4 linked regions of the Kluyveromyces lactis genome follow. The protein of the gene in region 3 purifies or fractionates together with the protein of the main gene of each other region. This does not show direct contact. Links are inferred from orthologs where the notes say so. Each region holds a gene or a part of one and is shown on either strand. Other genes may lie near its edges.

Region 1 (5,249 bases), on a different chromosome or scaffold from region 3:
GGTCTTTAAGACGATTGCTTTAACTTTGTCACCTTCACCGAAAAGGTTTTGTAAATTATCTATTTTAGCGTCAGCGACTTCACTTTTGTGGGCCAAACCAGTTACGTTGACTGTACCGTCCAACTTTACGAAAACACCAAAGTCAGTAACATTCTTCACAGAACCTTGGAAAATATCGCCCACATTAATATCAGAGTATGATTTTAATACGTTCAATTGACCGTTGACTTCAGATTCCCTCAAAGTTAATAGTACGCGATCATCATTATCACAGTTCACAACCTTACCGACAACACTTTGACCTCTTCTGAAAAATTTCTTCCAATCCTTGATAAAGGCATCCGTAAGCTTGGAAACTGGAACGAATGCTTGCAATACACTGCTCAAACTAATAAAAACACCTTTGTCAGTGATAGATTTAACAAAACCACGAACAATATCACCTCTCTTCAATTCAGAGGAGGAGATGATGGTACGGTCCTTTGGAGAAGAAGAACGCAAGGATAAATTGATCTTGTTATTGTCTATGTCAACATTCAAAACTGTGGCGGAAACAATGTTCTTCTTTTTGGAGTCATAGACATCTTTCAACGATAGAGAATAATCATCTAAAGCATCGGTTATGAATGAAACACCAGTAACATCTTTACCTAAAGACAATAAAACGTAAGTATCCTGAACAGAAATTACCCTAGCAGGTAGAACATCGCCTTCTTTAATTTCTGAAATAGAGGAGATGGCGTGCGATCTAGCAGAAACAACTAGTGAATCATGCTCAGTATCAATAGATTTGACGGTTACTCTGACAGCTGTACCTATTGGGTATTTCTCTTCAATTGGTAAGGAAAAGTCATGACCTTCATCTGAGATCTCAAAGATTGGTAGTTTGGCCTTGACAGTAGGAGTGATAGTCAACCATGCGGTATCGTTGCTATAATTATTAATGAATCCAAAGGTTGTTTGCTCTGGAGTGAAGTCCTTGAGTTTCTTTTCGGAAACTGGAGAAGTTAATGAAGATGGCTTTGCGCTCAGTTCGACTAGATGGCTCTTGGATGTTGTGTGAGAAATTGGTAAGAATTTACGGCTTTTAATATCGTGGAACCCGATAACTCTGACTGAGAGTGAATCATTTTTCTTGTACACACTTAATGGTGCCTTTTGTTCTTTGATATCTTCGAAACTGTCGAAAACTTCAGAAATACTGATACGACCATGTACATTATCAGCCAACGTAACGTTAAGCTGGTTCTTCTTAACTGATGTAATTGTAGCCTTTGTAACCTTACCGATAGTGAAGTCCGACAAATCTTTGATAGACTTGTCGACTGGGTTAATTACAGATGAATTGATCTTCTTAACATCGGTCTTTTGTTTTAAAATAGTCAATAAAAATCTTTCATGTTCCTCATCTGTTCTCAATAAATACACGGTCACGGATTGATTGATGTAGTATTTCTTATGAATATCAATATCTCTGGTTTCTGCTGCATAACTTGGTAAAACCAAACCGACAAATTTACCATTGAATGCAACAAAAACACCACGGTCAGAAACAGATTTAACGTAACCATGCATCGGTTCTGTTTTGTCTTTATTTTTGATGTCGGAAAAACTTAAAGGAAGGGTACCGTCTTCAGCATCTTTAATCAATGATTTTTTACAGGACATGTTGAACACATGAGTCCTGATGTCCTTGTCCAAAACCAAACCTCTAACTTCAGAGTTAATCTTTAACTTTTTCTGCGAAGCTCTGTTTTGTTCAATTCTATCATCTGACAAATGGCCGGTGTAAATAACACCGCGCAACCCTGAATCTTTAGATTCTACGATGACGGAATCTTTAGTCTTTTCAATAACAATTGCATCGATGATAGATTTACCGACAACTAAAGATTCAATAGCACTCTTTTGCTTGGAAGAAGACTCTGCTGAAATTTTACAAGAAGCAATAATTCTGTTTCTTTCGAAGTCATGATTCAAAATTTTAACCAAAACACTTTGTCCTAGTCTTAAGTGTTCTTGTGGTTTCTTTACAAATGCTTCTGAAATTTCTTTGTTTGGAACGAAAGCTTTGATATTATTAAAGAACGAGATAACACAACCATTAGGCTTGAATATTTCAACAGTACCAATTGTTTTCAATTCTTGACTTTCAACAGTCTGAATATCATCATTTTTGCAGACTAACGTCACAGATTCTTCGTCTGCATTTACAATAGACTTTTTCAATGTCACAGTGACACGGCCCACAGAATCGACATTGAGAACTCTACCTTTAACCTTTGAACCAATTTTGAATTTTCTTTCAGGATACACAAGTCTGGTATCAGATATGTGTAAGGGAGGAACAAATGCCTTAAATTGATCATTGAAAATTTTTAATTCAATACCTTTTCCTGACACTGTGACAATCTCACAAGCGCTCAAAACTTCGCCTGCTGGAATATCGGACGATCTTAGGTATTTGACATCAAGTAAGGCTGGATCAGACGTCAATGTGTAAAGTTTATCTACATTGTTATAGCCGAGTATTCTTGCTTTCACAGTTCCCGTTGGTTCAGTTTCTCCTGCCTTTGACAAATGAATTTGTCCCACCTGTTCATTGTTGATTGATACGTAGAAAAATTGACTATCCCTGCCTTTAACTGTGCAAGAATCGAAGATATAGCCAACGGGGAAAGATTCTAACGCTTCGGTCTCCTGTAATTTTGGATGCAATGAGATGATATGAGGTTGTGTGGAAACGACAGCAACTTTATCGCCGCTTTTCACTATAGTGGTTGCCAAAATTCTAGCATTGACTAAGTCACCAATGGAGTAGTGATGCTTCAAATCCTCTACCGTAAAGAAATTGGAATGTGGCAATGGCAAAAATGCAGTTATTAGACCGAAGGCTTTACCGATAACACCGTGATTTGTGATAGTTTGAGGTAAAAAGTCAATCGATTGACCCGGCACGATGGCATCTATGGAAGAGATCTTTTCGACCTTGGTGTTTTTACTGGCCAAATCCAAGTTGACATTTACAGTTCTACCAGATCTTTTCGTCACTGTAGCTAAGAACACCATACCTGGTAACAAAGAACTGAATTCAGGTATATCCTTCTTTGAGATAAAACCTGTTAAGTTCTCAATACCGATATCAAGAATGGCACCGTGATCTTCTATACTTTTCAACGAACACTGTAGTGGACAGTTTTTAGCTAAATCATCATCTTCAAACACGTTTACTACAGAGGGTTCGATGGATAAGTCTAACTTTTTGTTCTTGTTTGATTCTAAAGCGCTGTTATTTTGTACCATGCACCTCAACCATTGGCCTATTTTGAAATATTTATTGAGATCAGGTAATTCTTTAGGAGTTGTTATGTCGCTTTCATCATCTGAAGAATCGTATTCTGAGTCCTCATTTTTTTCATCATCGCTTTCCATGGATTCGTCCAAATTTTCCAAAATCTTGGTCATTTGTTCAGAGATATCTGTTAATGAGACGTAACCATGCAAACCGTCCACCAAAGATATTTTCAGTTCATGTTTGCTGATCGATTGGATTTGACCCAAGACAATGGTCCCTTTGGTCATTTGTTTCATTCCAAAATGCTCAATTAAATCAGTCTTGTCCTCTTTTTCTTCATCATCACCTGTGGTAATTTGATCAAAATTATTCTTAGCATTCTTCTTTTTCTTCTTCGTTGGGCCCTCTGCACCAGTAGCTGATTCATCCTTGCCAAATAAAACATCAGCAACCACTTCGTTACCAACCTGCTTAACTTCCAATGGGGATAAAGCAGAAGAACCACCTCTTGGAAATGAGATTTCCTCGGATTTACTCAATGCAGATTTGGCTGGTGCTTCGGTAGCATCCTGTCTTACTAAAGGAGACTCATCGTCTCTCTTTCTTTTACTTTGTGGAGCAACCATGTTTGTGATCTTTTTCGGTATTTAGATATGCCTGTTTTCAAAACAAATTACACCTAGCAATTTAGATGTAAACCTATGTTTTTCTTGAAGTGTCTTGCAAACTATTGAAGCTCCTGTTCCCAAGTTGTTGTTGTTTTTGTCTTCTGTGAAGATAGAAACCAATAAAGCCAATAGAAAGCACAAAGCAAAAAGAATTCAGAGAAAGATACAAAATATGTTATACCAAACTGTTTCCTGTTTGAGAAAGTAAACCAGACTTATCTTTACCAGAATTAAGAAAGTTGCACTTGGTTTCTAGAATCAACAAAGCTCAGAAATGTGTTAGCATACCAATACAAATGATCCAGCACTTAAGTAGCTAAAGCTCATCTCATCTCATCTCATCTCATCGCATCGATTTTTGAAAATTTTCAATATTAAAAAAAAGAAATCAAAACGACATAGACGAAATGTAATCGCGCCTTTGATGCAGTGACAGTTTAATAATGGAACGTTGTACAGATCTTCCGTTGTTATCACTGGAGTTTGTTTGAACCGTATCCACGGATTAGGGTCTTTTGAATGCATGACATACTTCTTAACTATTAAGGGCTTTTGTTAGCCAGTTATTCTATCTTCTTAAAGAGGTATAATAATTACATATCTGTAATGGTGGAAACCATGTAACTAAAAGGTTCTAGGGGAGTGATAAGAGTTTTGTTGGTCATGCTAAGAAAAATTTGTGCAATTACGAGTGGAATGCCTTCTATGGTAATAGTTTCAGATCAGACTATATGTTTTTTCTCTTTTTTGTTCAATTTCATTTCTAAAGGTACTTTCACAGCCGGAAATATTTATTATAAGGCATAAAAGCACCATCATATTACAGTCTAAAGCTGTTTCTGGCTCCTTTCGATCCATTTTCAGGGGCAGTCTATATATCTATCGAACTACGAGAGTTTTATCAACACAGTAAAGTTCCACATTGTAACGTGAGGTATCATTGGCCTGCCTTTTCTCCTATCCTTCCTTATGTATTATGTGTCTTGGTATGAAATTTCATTAAATCAATTATCTTCAATTTATCAACCTACATTCTCATATATATCAGAAACCTTTAAAAAGTAATATGGAGTGGATTCTATCAATAGATAAGGTCGACCAACGCACCTTTGAAGAGGGACTCAATGTCATCATTCGACAGCAGATTTACAGGAATACCCCATAGTGCGAATAAATCAGCAAGACCGTCCTTTTCTTCGACAAGGACGGGATCCAGCGCTAATACAACTACTTCATCAGCAATCTTGGAACAAAACAACACAGAACCATATTCTGGTGCTGCTGTA
Region 2 (3,884 bases), on a different chromosome or scaffold from region 3:
TCAATAACGAGATTCCATGTTTCCAAATGAGTTTATAATCGTCTAATTTCACCAAATGGCCCATAAGGAAGTTTTTCAAATAAAGGTCTAAGTAAGTACCATGTTTCCAAAACTTGAGGATCTCGTCCACGATCTCCTGTGATTTATCCTCAAACAATTCACAAACTTTACAGAAAACGATCAACTCTTGCTCATTCTCAAAAGGTTTCAAATCGCTTGTCAATTTATATGTCAACTTAGGTAAAAGATCCAATTCCCTTTCGTTAATGTTATCTTTATCCAACTGAAACCATACTACAGTAGCAATACTGTTCCAGAATTGGAACAATCTCGATTTCGATTTTTCATTGACTCGTGGCATCTGGAAACTACTCTTACTCAAATGTCTCCAATTTAAATCCCTCAATGACTCCAAGAACCAATCATAACATGTCTCCGAATTACCGTATTTCATCATTGCTCTTTCATAAGGTTCCAATGCACTGGTGGTGTCAAAACCTAATTCCAACAAAAATCGATGGCACATTGATAGCGATTTCGCATCGCTTGGAGGAGATTTGGCATCCAAGATCAACTTTAACCCATTTTCAAAACTATATTTCGCAGGAGATTGCCTGTACTTGACATATTGCTCTAACACTTTGTAATAAGTGGCGGATGGGTACCGTTTCTGCAATGATGCAACAAACTGTGAAGCTTTCTTAAACAGTTCCCTATCTAATAGCTGAAAAAGCTGATGATCTTCAGAGTTCATATCAACAGTTTCCACTCTTCGTGTTGGTCGATATCAAATCTAACAGATCAAACAGCAACGAACACCGTTACTGCCAGACATACCGGGTTGTTCTACGAACGACGTGCGTATGAGGTTGTTCATTAGAAGTTTGAATGCTGAATTAAGCCAATATCGTAATTTTTCAGTCTTGATTACCCGGATAATAAACTATAACTGTATGTGTATCCATAAATGTAAACGGCACAGCCTAACAAGGGCATCAGCGCTCTTACTGCTTGAAATATAAACGCAAGACCTCACCATACAATCCCCACCCGCGTTGAATCTGATAGAAGCCAGTTGGCAGACGATACGAACATTTTCTTTTCGAGAAACTATCCTTTTCTATTTTAAATCATCACTGATGAGCCTTAGTTTCTTTTTCGGTACATTGAAAATTTTTGAAAAGTTAGAAAAGGCGATGAGATGAGATGAGATGAGATGAGATGAGATGAGAAGAGGTATTGAACAAGGTTGTCCTGATCCTTCCAATCTATACATCGTCGGTCTAAACACTTTGAGATTATTGTATTACACTTGAGTAGTTGGAAGGAAGAAAAAGCCAAGAACTGCTAAGCAAATCCTTCTATAATGTCGAGTATTTTCAAGACTTTGTCTCGTAAGGATAAAGACGGTAAGAAGAACAAAAATAATGCGGCTAACAGTGACAGTAATGAGAAACAGTTCATGAATAAGCAACGTACCTTACTTATTACGTCCAGAGGTGTTACTTATAGACATCGTCATTTGGTTCAGGATTTGAACAGTCTTCTACCACATTCGAGAAAGGAACCTAAGTTGGACACGAAGAAGGATCTAGGACAATTGAATGAGATTGCGGAATTGTACAACTGTAATAACATTATATTCTTTGAAGCTAGAAAGCACCAGGATTTGTACCTATGGCTATCAAAGCCACCAAATGGACCAACAATCAAGTTTTATTTGCAGAACCTACATACCATGGACGAATTAAACTTCACTGGCAACTGTTTGAAGGGATCCAGACCAATATTGTCATTTGATGGTAGATTTGATTCTGAACCGCACTACCGTTTAATTAAAGAACTTTTTATCCATAACTTCGGTGTACCACCTCAAGCTAGAAAGTCCAAGCCATTCATTGACCATATCATGTCTTTCAGTATAGTTGACGAAAAGATCTGGGTAAGAACGTATGAGATCTCGCATGAAGCTAGGAACAACGTTGAATATGAGGATAAAGAAGAAGATGAAACGTCGTTAGTTGAAATTGGCCCACGTTTCGTGATGACACCGATTTTGATCCTTGAAGGTTCATTTGGTGGTCCAAAGATCTACGAAAACAGACAATACGTATCGCCAAACTTCGTTAGATCTCAAATTAAACAACAGGCTGCCAAGGAAGCTAAGACCAGAGCCGAAGCTGCTGTTGAAAGGAAACTAAAGAAGAGAGAAAGTGTCTTGGCTGTAGATCCATTATCCAACGATGCATTGTTCAAAGATTAAAGTACAATCCAGAACTCTAGAAAAAATCATGATTTATATATTGTCAACTTAGGAGAACGGCGTTCTTCCTGCTCAGACTTGTACATATGTATACTCCTATATATATGCTTTTGAATGGGCTGTTTTTGATAATATAATTTTTCGTTTTATTCCTAACTATACTATACGTTAAAGTCGTACATGAATATTTAATTTATTTAGTTAACTTGGGGGGCCAGAATACCAGTTAAACTTGAAGCGTCATGAAACGTCATGGGGAAAACGTTTTTACATTTGGTGTGAACCACAGTGTGCTGTTTGAAATGTTTTTTTTATCATTTGTTTGAATTTTAATAGATTTATTAATATTTTACTTGCCCAATGCCATTGCATTCTTCTATTCCCCAAATACGAAGATGTTATGCGTAGTAATAACAAATCATACTGTATAATTTTCAGGAAACGTGAATTGAACAGTCAAGTGGGTAGAATTAATAAGGAAGTAAAAATGTCCTGACTTTTATCTTTAGTGCTTTTCAGCGTTGGCAGTATGCTTTTCCAAGTAAGCCTTGATGAAATCTTCCTCACCCTTAGAGGAAGTAGAGTATAATGGCTTGGCTGGTTGCTTAGACTTGAATGGGTTTGGAATAACCAACAATAATACAGCACCTAAAGTCCCTAGGGCCAATTGATGTGGTTGAACAGTTCTACCCAAAATTGTGTATGCAGCACTCATCGTATATCAAATTATTTTCTTGGTCTATATTCTAACAGAGTGAATCTCGAACAAAGGTGTATAGGATACCACTAATAACGCATCTGATCCAGTGCAAAAGTTCGCTCAAAACCGCCTTGTTCTTTCTAGTGAGAAGAATTCGAAACTTTGAAATTTTTCAGCTTTGAGAAAGGAAATCCTGCTTTACACGCTTTTTAAGAGTAAATCGCTCAGAAACAGACGTAGCATATTCTTCAACACACCCATACACCTCACACAGTTTACTGGACCAATCATGTAAGAGCAGCTCGTATAAAACTGGTAAAAACCAGAGAGTACACACAGTTTAACGTATGTTTACTGCTGAATTCTGTCAACTGGATACGGAAGACAATAGAATGGACACATAATGGTCTCAATACGACAATTCAACGGCTCTTAGAAGGTGAGTTATTCTTGACATTTTCATGGCTCTTCGAGCATGCTTTCTAAGATGACGCGGAAGGTGAAAAAGATTAGAAAACGGCCATTCACGTGAATATCACGTGAACTACAAATTCATGATATATTACCGCCAATAGTATTGGTGGTTACCCGATCGTATCGAATGTACTGACTTCGAAAATATGAATAGTCCTCTTTAAAACAAAGGGTTTTCAGTGACCCTTACTCCATCATCTCCTTAGTATTTGGTCTACAGACTGCCATTGCCGTATATTCAGGGTAGTAGTCAGTACATCGGTGTCTGCCATGGTTTCGATAAAGTTTCTTTTATCTTTATACGGCTGGCTATCTGTCACTTTAGCCATCTCGTTGAATGCCGTTGTTGATAGTTTATTCTCGAACAGTTTCGACGGGAATAACAACATCGAGGATCATGAAACTGCAAATTATAACACTCAGTTTAGTGTCTTCAGCTCAAATATT
Region 3 (4,325 bases):
ACACCCGTCATGTGTATACGGGGCAGAACTTCAATAGCATGGAACAGCACAAGCAACAACAGCAAGTTAACCCTTATCTGCTGTCCAATAACGTCCAGCAGTCCTTTAACATCAACGATAACCAACAAAGCTATTACGGTAGAAGTATGAAAAATGGCAGTAGCAATAGCAGCAACAATTATAATACCAATAGTCTTGGAGGATCGCATACCATCAATAACAAATGGTAATATTCCGGTTTATTTTCCTTTTATTCAGAATAATATTATTAGCATTCAGATTCTCTACGTTGTTCGTTTCTTATTAATCACTATAAAGTTTTCCACTTAGTTGCTCGAAATGATATTAATTGTTGTGGAAAAGGGTTTTCATTGTTTCTGGTTATTTGAGCTTCAGTTCTAAGAATAGTATTTAATAGCATGTATCCTATTCATTCTAAAACACCATTTTAATTTAATATTTGTTCTCCAATACCATTCCGTATATCAAATTATAACTAAAAGGAATAGTATTATAGAAAGAATCACAATTAGGAAGCAAGGGCCTTTCTCACGAGCTGTTGCTTCGTAAGCATTAAGTCTTCTCCCAGCCCTTTGTAAATGACTTTCACTTCGATCTACTTGGCGCTCAATATCCGTTAAGAGATGTTCATTTTGCTGTTCTACCTCATCGTTAATCTCGATAGATATTCCTTGTGTCCTATTAATAGAACTTGACAGGTTTTCTAGATGGCTCTCTTGTTCCATCAATTGCTGCTGTTGTTGAATGAAAATATCCTGATTTGAAACTTGTGGAGAAATATTGTATTTTGGAGTTCCTGTCTCTTGATTTCCAAATAATTCCTTTCTCTTGACCTCCAATAAATCATCTACAACTGTAGATGAAGACTCATCATCTTTATATGGTTTAAACTTCTGTTCGGGTTCTTTATGCTCTTCAACTAATCCGTCTTTAAACCGTACCTTCTTTGTTTCTCTCAGATTAGGCTTTCTTTTGAATCTATAGAGTTCCTTGTCAATGACTGTTTCTGGCAAGCCTTCAATGATATCATTATAAGTTTTAATCTGATGATTAAATCTATCATCTTCAGAAAAGGGTACATCATCTTCATAATCTTTGAGCAAATCAAGTGTATGGTTTATATGTTTCTTAAGTTTTATGTTATCATTTTTAGATGGTTGCATGTGAAGGACATCCATTAACCTGTCTCTCTCATCCACAATCTCTATTAATTTATCGATTTCATATTCGACCTTCAAACCATTCATTTTTTTATATCTATCGTCCCTCTTTCTCTGTAGATAATACGCCTAACATTAAGCTTCGCATAGGTGTTGGCTGCGTTAGGTTACGAAATGCCACTTATTTTTAACACGAGCTGTCTCTTATGCCAACGAATCACATTTAAGGTTCTCCGGTATATAGCATAAAATATCGAATAGTCAAAGAATTAATAGGACAAAAGAGATTACCCGGAACAATAATTGACAGTAATTCCCCAGTTGAAGCACCAAGACCAATTGCAAGCCAAATCGGAGATACAACAAGTGTCTGTCTTATTGAAAAGTTGGATTATTTATCCATATGTACACTATACTATAATTGTTAAGGTTGTGCTCCATTATTGAGCATTTTGTTTCTTAAAAGCTATCGAACGCTTAGTAACTCTTCCTGTCTTTGATCTGTTCTTTGTTCTTTTTAGTACAGGGGTGGTTTCTCCCTTTGAAGCTCTTAAACCCTCAATTGTCAACTCTTCACCTAGCTTAGCCCTATCAGCCTTACCTAACACCTTCTTAGCTCTTCCCAGTTTTGTCCTTTGTTGGTCGTTTAATTTATTATTTTGTAGGGAAGATTGGTTTCCTTGGGCCTTTCTCATATTCTTGCATCTAGAAATTCTTAGCTTTCTGGCCTTCTTACCTTCATGGATCTTCTTTTCATGTAGTAGTAACGCTTTACTCACTGATTGGAAGTCCTTAAATTGAACGTATGCGAAACCTTTACCCATGTTCGTCTTTGAATCACGAATAATACGAACATATTCAATGTCACCACAAGGTTCAAAGTGCTTCCAGAGACTTTCTTCCACTTCTTCAAAATCCAAATTACCCACGAAGACTGATCTTCTCTTATCATGTGGGGAGGGGTGTGTAACCGAATCCACTCTCAAATGATGGTCGTTGAACACTTTACCGTTCAGATATTGGCACATAATCTTGACCGGATTGGAGCTCCCATATACGGCATATGCGTTGATCGAATCTCTAGATTTGTGAAGCTTTTGATGAACAAATGCAACTTTTCTTGGCAATGCTTCTTCGAATGCAATGGATCTGAATCTGATACTTTCCACATTAAACTTAACATCTTTTGTCTTACTTTCTTCTTCTTCTTCGTCTTCTTCTCCGTCATCGTGGTCATCATTCTCGCTACGGGGATCCTTGGAGAGAAGTTTCTTAAATTCTTTGTAAACTTTCTTTGATGTGATAACCTCATTTGGTACATTCCCAATAAAAATTGTTCTCTCAGCCTTGGCTAGTTCCTTTTCTTTCAAATTGATAACTTTAGCAGATTCAGATTCCGTGCCGGTAATCGAAGACTTATCGACTGCAGTTGCTTCATCTTCATTATCACTATCGGAAGAGTCGTCCTTAGGTTCATCCTTAGGTTCATCTTTAGATTTAGAATCACCTAATACCTTAGAATAATATTGAACTTCCAAATTATCATTCTCTTCATCATTCTTCTTGGTCTTCTTCTTTTTCTTCTTCGGCTGTTCTTCCTGTTCTTCCTGTTCTTTCTCTACTCCTTCGGAGACAGTAGAAGCACTTTCCTGGACATTCTCTTCTTCTTGTTCATCCTTATCCTGTTCAGGCTCAGTTAGCACAGTCCTAGCTTTCGACTTTACTTTACGCTCATCGACATGATTAGGTTTGGAGAATAACGCTGCAATCGATGATGTACCTGCCGCGTCTGATTTGGAATTTCCAAATAAATTGTTCAATGCGGACATCCCGTAATATAATTTTGGTTTGTTATGTTTGAAAGACCCTGGTTCACCAACACAAACGTTATTCCTCTGCACTAAACCTGCTGGTGGCTGTCCAAGTCTCTTCGATGCGATGAGCTTTATCCATTTGTCTGTTGAATTATCGAAAGTGAAAAACCTGCACTTCCTAGAAAAGCCAGCAGAAATCATGAATTTACCACCAAAAAGAAATGCGGAAGAAAAGCGTACGCTCTATGGACAAATCGAATGTATCGTAGTCACGTGATTAACACCGTGGAATGTACTATATGGCCGGGTAACATCATGTTCCTTTTCCTTAAAAAACGTACAAACTGTAAATAGTGCTGAAATGCCGAAATATAAGTTAAGAATAAAAATACAGTCTGATTTTAGCATGAACATATAGTTATGGCCAGTCAGCAATCAATACATAGATCTCATCCAAACGTGATTTAAAATATTGTGTACTACTAAGAATAGAGAGAGATAACTGTTTTGCTAGTAAAAATAAGAATTACGCGAAGTAAGGTATATTTGCAGCCCTTTGTTTTAGTGTGTCAGGTATCAACTTTCAATCTATTCAAGCAGCAATTCTTAACTTATACTGCGCATATTAAACGGTTTGCTGGTTAAATTTTGTGTGTTTCTGCATTGGAGTATAAGCTAAGTGTTTTTTCTTTGCCATCAGCCGATTGGAGTAATACAAAGGTTGTATTGGTTATATGCGTTGGGATTTCTTTCTTTTTGAATTCAAACGGTACTATCTTTGAATCATTCAAATGGAGCCAGAGAGAAACAAAAATAACAGTGTAGAGGCTGCGAGTGAGATTGACGATCATAATACCAGATCTGCCCCCACTACGAAACTTACCAAAGAAGTTTTAGAGAAGATTGCTTCGGATTCTGATTCTGTTAATTTTAACGCAAATAGTTATTCAAGGAAATCGAAATCAGGGAGTCCCTCAAAGGTTGGTACATTAGAATACGACGATAACAGTACCAGTGGATTATCTAAGGTCACTTCTCCAGAACATCCAAACTCAGTCTCTCTATCGGACATATACATCTCATCAGACGCTGAGACCGAAAAGATGGATTTAGAAGAGGACGAATCACGTGTCAAACTATCGGAAATGGCATCCAATTCGATTGAAAGTAACGGTAATGACAAAAGTAAACAAAATGATGATAATCTTTCGAAGACTGTAAAACAAGAGTACATCAATAATGGTGTCGGTAGTTATATTCAAGAATCTGCCCCTAAACTTGCTACTCCTTCAAAAGATGAGGGACCAATCGTTCAGCAAGATAAACCAGC
Region 4 (4,496 bases), on a different chromosome or scaffold from region 3:
TTCTTTGATTAAAATTGGCGCCAATCTCTTTGATCTCAACTTCTTGTGCACACATAAGAAGTTAATTTCGACACTACGCACATCATTACCTCTAACTTGTAAGTTGGTTGGGATAGCGCTGATAAAACCAACAAGTCTCTTGGTTTCTTTAACCCTGACACCGACTTGCCATTCCTCTTTCCAGCCAGGTGGTTTCAACCCCCAATTCAAGAAATCACGGGAATAATTGAATCTGAAGGTAGAGTCTTTGTCCTCGACATAGTTCTCATTCAATAACACGTATACGTCTTCCAACTGTTTTTCGTCATTAACGTCAACGGTACACCACTCGAAATCTCCCAATAATGGCAAGGGTGTGTCTGGAATATCCTCTGGTCTCTTACTGGAATCAATAGGCCCCTCTTTCTTGATCACTTCATCAAATTTAGTAACCGGCTGAGTCTTCCAGAACTTATACTCGTTCATATCCTTACGTTGTTGAGAGGTGAACTTCGACAAATCACCATCATGGACCTTCAAAAGTTTCAACAACTCTTCCAATTTCTTAGATTTATCTTCTTCAGACATTGTGATATATTATTTCCAGCGGAAAAGACGCGCGTTCGCAGCTACCTTAAGGTCGATCGGGGCAACAATAGCAGTACTAACAAAAGTCAACCGCTGTATCGCCTATTGTACTTCTTTTGAAGTCGTTTCAAATGTCGTTTCCCATATTGACAAATCCTAGCTCAACGTTTTTTTTTTTCAGATTAACCTGAGCGGTGTCATCAAGTCGCACATTTTGCAAACAAAATTACATATTAATGATAGAGAACATTCGATTCAAGATCATCAAGCTGCTATGACAACTATCATAAGGGCTTAATTGTTTGAGATTTATAATTGCGGCTTAACTGCAGTTGTAGATGCCATTAACACCTTATTCCTTTCCGTCTGCGCTGTTTCAACAGGGGTCGAATCCATCTACTTTCTTTTTTCTTTCGAGGTTAGCGATTCGAAAATTTTCTAACATGAGATGAGATGAGATGAGATGAGATGAGATAGGTAGTTGATAAAACTGGGACTGGTTTATGGTTTATAGGCTGTTTGTATTGATACAGGGTGTTCTTATATACCAATTAATCAGTGTATTTGTTTGATAAGTGGAAGTATCACCATGTTGTCTGCTACTTCGTGGGTACCAAGAGGGTTCGCGAGTGAATTTCCTGAGAAATATGAACTTAACGATGAAGAGATGGAAAGGATTAACGAGTTGGCCAAATTGAATTTAGATGAGGCCAAACATGATTTAGAAGAGGCTCAGGAAGCTGAAGAAGGAGGTGAAGAAGTTACAGAAGAAGTGGAAGAGCCAACTACTAATGGTAACGCATTGAAGGACCAATTGGCAGTTGATGACGATTTGAAAGAATTCGACTTAGAGCATTACGATGATCCAGAAGATGAAGCCAACGCCCAAGATGCCATGTTCATGGGTTTATCCGAGGAAGTCAAATTTTACGAGGGTGAAGAAGGTGAAGATCCTTATATTTCCCTTCCAAAATCAAAGGATGACGTGGAAGAGAAGCAAGAATTACAAGTTTATCCGACTGATAACATGGTCCTAGCTACCAGAACTGAAGATGACGTTTCTTACTTGGACGTATATGTGTACGATGATGGTGCCGGGTTCCACGATTCGGATATTCCATCAGAAAAGGGTGATGAACAAGATCCTGATGTGGCGCGTGGTTTAGTTCGTGATTCTTCGTTGTATGTACACCACGACCTTATGTTACCAGCCTTCCCACTTTGTGTTGAATGTTTGAATTACAAGCCAGGTTCAAACAGTGATGAAACTGTTGCAAATTTCGCTGCAGTGGGTACTTTCGATCCTGCCATTGAGATTTGGAATTTGGATTGTGTTGATAAGGCTTTCCCTGATATGATTCTTGGTGAACCAACAGATAACTCTATCGCCTTACCAACTAAATCAAAAAAGAAGAAGAAGAGCAAAAGCAAACATGTGACAACACATCACACTGATGCCATCCTATCTCTAGCACATAACAAACAGTTCAGAGCAGTTTTAGCCTCTACATCAGCAGATCATACTGTCAAATTATGGGATTTAAACACAGCAACCGCCGCTCGTTCGTTAATCAACATCCATTCAAATACCAATGTGTCAGCATCGCAATGGCATCCATCAAACGGTTCTGTGTTATTGACTGCTGGTTACGATTCTCGTGCTGCATTGTCCGATGTGAGAATCGAAAACGACAACGATATGTCTAAATACTGGAACGTTTCATCCGGAGAGGAAATCGAATGTGTCCGTTTTGCTGATGAAAACATCTTCATTTGCGGTACTGATAACGGTAACGTGTACTCTTTTGATATTAGAAATGGTGCCGAATCTAAGCCAGTTTGGACTTTGAAGGCTCATGATGCAGGTGTTTCATCTGTCGAAATCAACAGACATATTCCAAATATGCTGTTAACCAGTGCTATGGGTGAAAAACCTGTCAAATTATGGAAATGTCCATTAGACGCAAAGCCTGGTAAAGGTCCAAGCATGGTACTAAGTCGTGATTTCGGTGTAGGAAATGTATTAACCACTTCATTCGCACCAGATATTGAAATTGCAGGTAATATGGTTGTTGGTGGTGTGAGCCCCGGTCTAAAATTATGGGATGTGTTCACAAACAGATCTGTTAGAAAGAGTTTCCAACCAGAGCTTAAAACCTTACAACAACGAGCAAGAGAAGAGGCCATAGCTCTGGGGAAAAGTTCAAGAATCGCTAGAAAGTATACCAAAAACGACAACCCAGAAACTGTGCTCACTGTGGAGGATCAAAACGATGAGGAAGAAGACGACGAAGAAGATGAAGATTAAATTCTCGTCACACAGTTTCACTATTGTACAATATATAATGCATATTCCTAATTCTCTATAAGGATAAAACAGAATTAAAATGAACCTCCAGTCAAAAATCTCTAGACTAGTTGCAACATAGTACGTCCTTTCTAGGTTACTTACCCATTAATACATTTTCGGCGGCGTATATATCCTGTATGAACATGTACTAATAAAAAAGAGACATTCTGCCAACGAAATTTACAAATTATGATCTTACAAGGCTTTTGAGGAGTTTGTTCTCCAGAGTTTCTGATTCTACATCGATAACGGTCACTTCTGTACGTTTAAAGTTTCCCTGTTCCCTATCAGCAGAAAATGATATACTTCTGTCGGATTTACGTCTTGGTCTAATAAAAGCATCACTGATCCTTCGATAAACCTGCGGAGAGTAACGGTAGTGTGTATTTGTGTCTTTGGAGGAAAGAGTAATGGGCCTGCCATCATGATCCATATTTTCATCTTCGTTTTCACTAGTTTTTTCCGTAACTGCCTCTTCCTCGCATTTTAACCCTTCAATTACCGATTCAATGCTGTCAACATGACCGTCATACACAACTTGACACATTTGCTCGTATCTAGTAGCAAAAAAATCTTGATTCCAATCAAAACCCTGTGAATGAGCCATCGAAATCACATACTGAATCCTTTCAGAAGAACTATTGCCATTATTATCATATCTTCTTGATCCGTAGCTGTCACTGACTTCATAGGCGATCCCTGTTTCACTAGCCAACATGCTAGATGATAGATAAAACTCCCTCATAGAAAAACACAAAGTAATTGGGTAATGTTCAGATCTGCTGCAGATTGGATAAACTTTAGACAAAATATAACTCAACACACCGTTGCATTCGGCTTCATAACAAGATACCAGTTCTTTATATTTCAAGGGTTTTATGCCTGACTCTTTAAACCTCTAAACTACATCATCGGGAACAAAAGACTTTTTATCACGTGACAGTTGGTTCTCATTCGTTTAAAGGGGAATATTCATGATATTTGTTACCCGGAAAATTCAGTAAGTACACCACAGTATAACGCCCGTAAGATAGAATAAATATTCAAATATGTATATGGTGATCTATGAAACAGCCACGTACAATATGCAAACGAAGAATAGCTGTATATCGGTTTTAACATATCAGTTCAATGCAATCATAGTTATAGTACAAGTAGATATAATATTGTGTTTCAGGTACACAAGCCCAATGGAAAGAAAATTAACTATCTAAGCCACCTGTTTTCGTTGATACTATTTATCAAATCATCGAATCCTGAACTTGAAAGCGTCAAGAGCTAAAAGACTACAGTATGAGTAGAGTTTTGAGCAGGCGAGATATCGCTGATAGGATTGCTAAGGGCCAGACGATTGTAATATATGAAGATTCGGTCCTGAACCTGGATAAATGGATCAAGTTTCACCCTGGCGGTGACAAATCTATTTATCATATGATCGGTCGCGATGCGACCGATGAGATGAATGCATACCATGACGATCAGACCATAACAAAATTTAAGATATGGAAAATTGGCCGCATTGATTATCCATGGGAGAATATGCTGCCTCCGATTCAAGGTGGTAGGTTTTCGAAGATTG

What was found. Proteins that work in one complex are often made in the same cells at the same time.
Region 1: the proteins of NOP12 (region 3) and RRP5 purify together in Saccharomyces cerevisiae (affinity purification with mass spectrometry; 3 studies listed by BioGRID). This does not show direct contact. The link is inferred for Kluyveromyces lactis from reciprocal best matches to the Saccharomyces cerevisiae genes NOP12 and RRP5.
Region 2: the proteins of NOP12 (region 3) and BRX1 purify together in Saccharomyces cerevisiae (affinity purification with mass spectrometry; 3 studies listed by BioGRID). This does not show direct contact. The link is inferred for Kluyveromyces lactis from reciprocal best matches to the Saccharomyces cerevisiae genes NOP12 and BRX1.
Region 4: the proteins of NOP12 (region 3) and PWP1 purify together in Saccharomyces cerevisiae (affinity purification with mass spectrometry; 4 studies listed by BioGRID). This does not show direct contact. The link is inferred for Kluyveromyces lactis from reciprocal best matches to the Saccharomyces cerevisiae genes NOP12 and PWP1.

The regions. Positions count from the first base shown.
Region 1 is NC_006038.1:728,522-733,770, reverse strand, and holds the start of RRP5 (Rrp5p), read right to left. Parts: upstream 3,922-5,249; coding exon 1-3,921. Other genes in the region: YPK9 (putative acid anhydride hydrolase), read left to right, coding at 5,088-5,249.
Region 2 is NC_006041.1:1,577,368-1,581,251, forward strand, and holds BRX1 (ribosome biogenesis protein BRX1), read left to right. Parts: upstream 1-1,366; coding exon 1,367-2,263; downstream 2,264-3,884. Other genes in the region: MDM20 (Mdm20p), read right to left, coding at 1-754; KLLA0_E17821g (S10 family peptidase), read left to right, coding at 3,708-3,884. UniProt on the Saccharomyces cerevisiae protein: Required for biogenesis of the 60S ribosomal subunit.
Region 3 is NC_006042.1:733,268-737,592, forward strand, and holds NOP12 (rRNA-processing protein NOP12), read right to left. Parts: upstream 3,011-4,325; coding exon 1,622-3,010; downstream 1-1,621. Other genes in the region: KLLA0_F07755g (uncharacterized protein), read left to right, coding at 1-230; SYN8 (syntaxin), read right to left, coding at 486-1,268; Rpd3L histone deacetylase complex subunit DEP1, read left to right, coding at 3,787-4,325.
Region 4 is NC_006041.1:1,732,087-1,736,582, reverse strand, and holds PWP1 (rRNA-processing protein PWP1), read left to right. Parts: upstream 1-1,156; coding exon 1,157-2,875; downstream 2,876-4,496. Other genes in the region: glycylpeptide N-tetradecanoyltransferase NMT1, read right to left, coding at 1-567; UGX2 (Ugx2p), read right to left, coding at 3,105-3,662; KLLA0_E19471g (fatty acid desaturase), read left to right, coding at 4,211-4,496.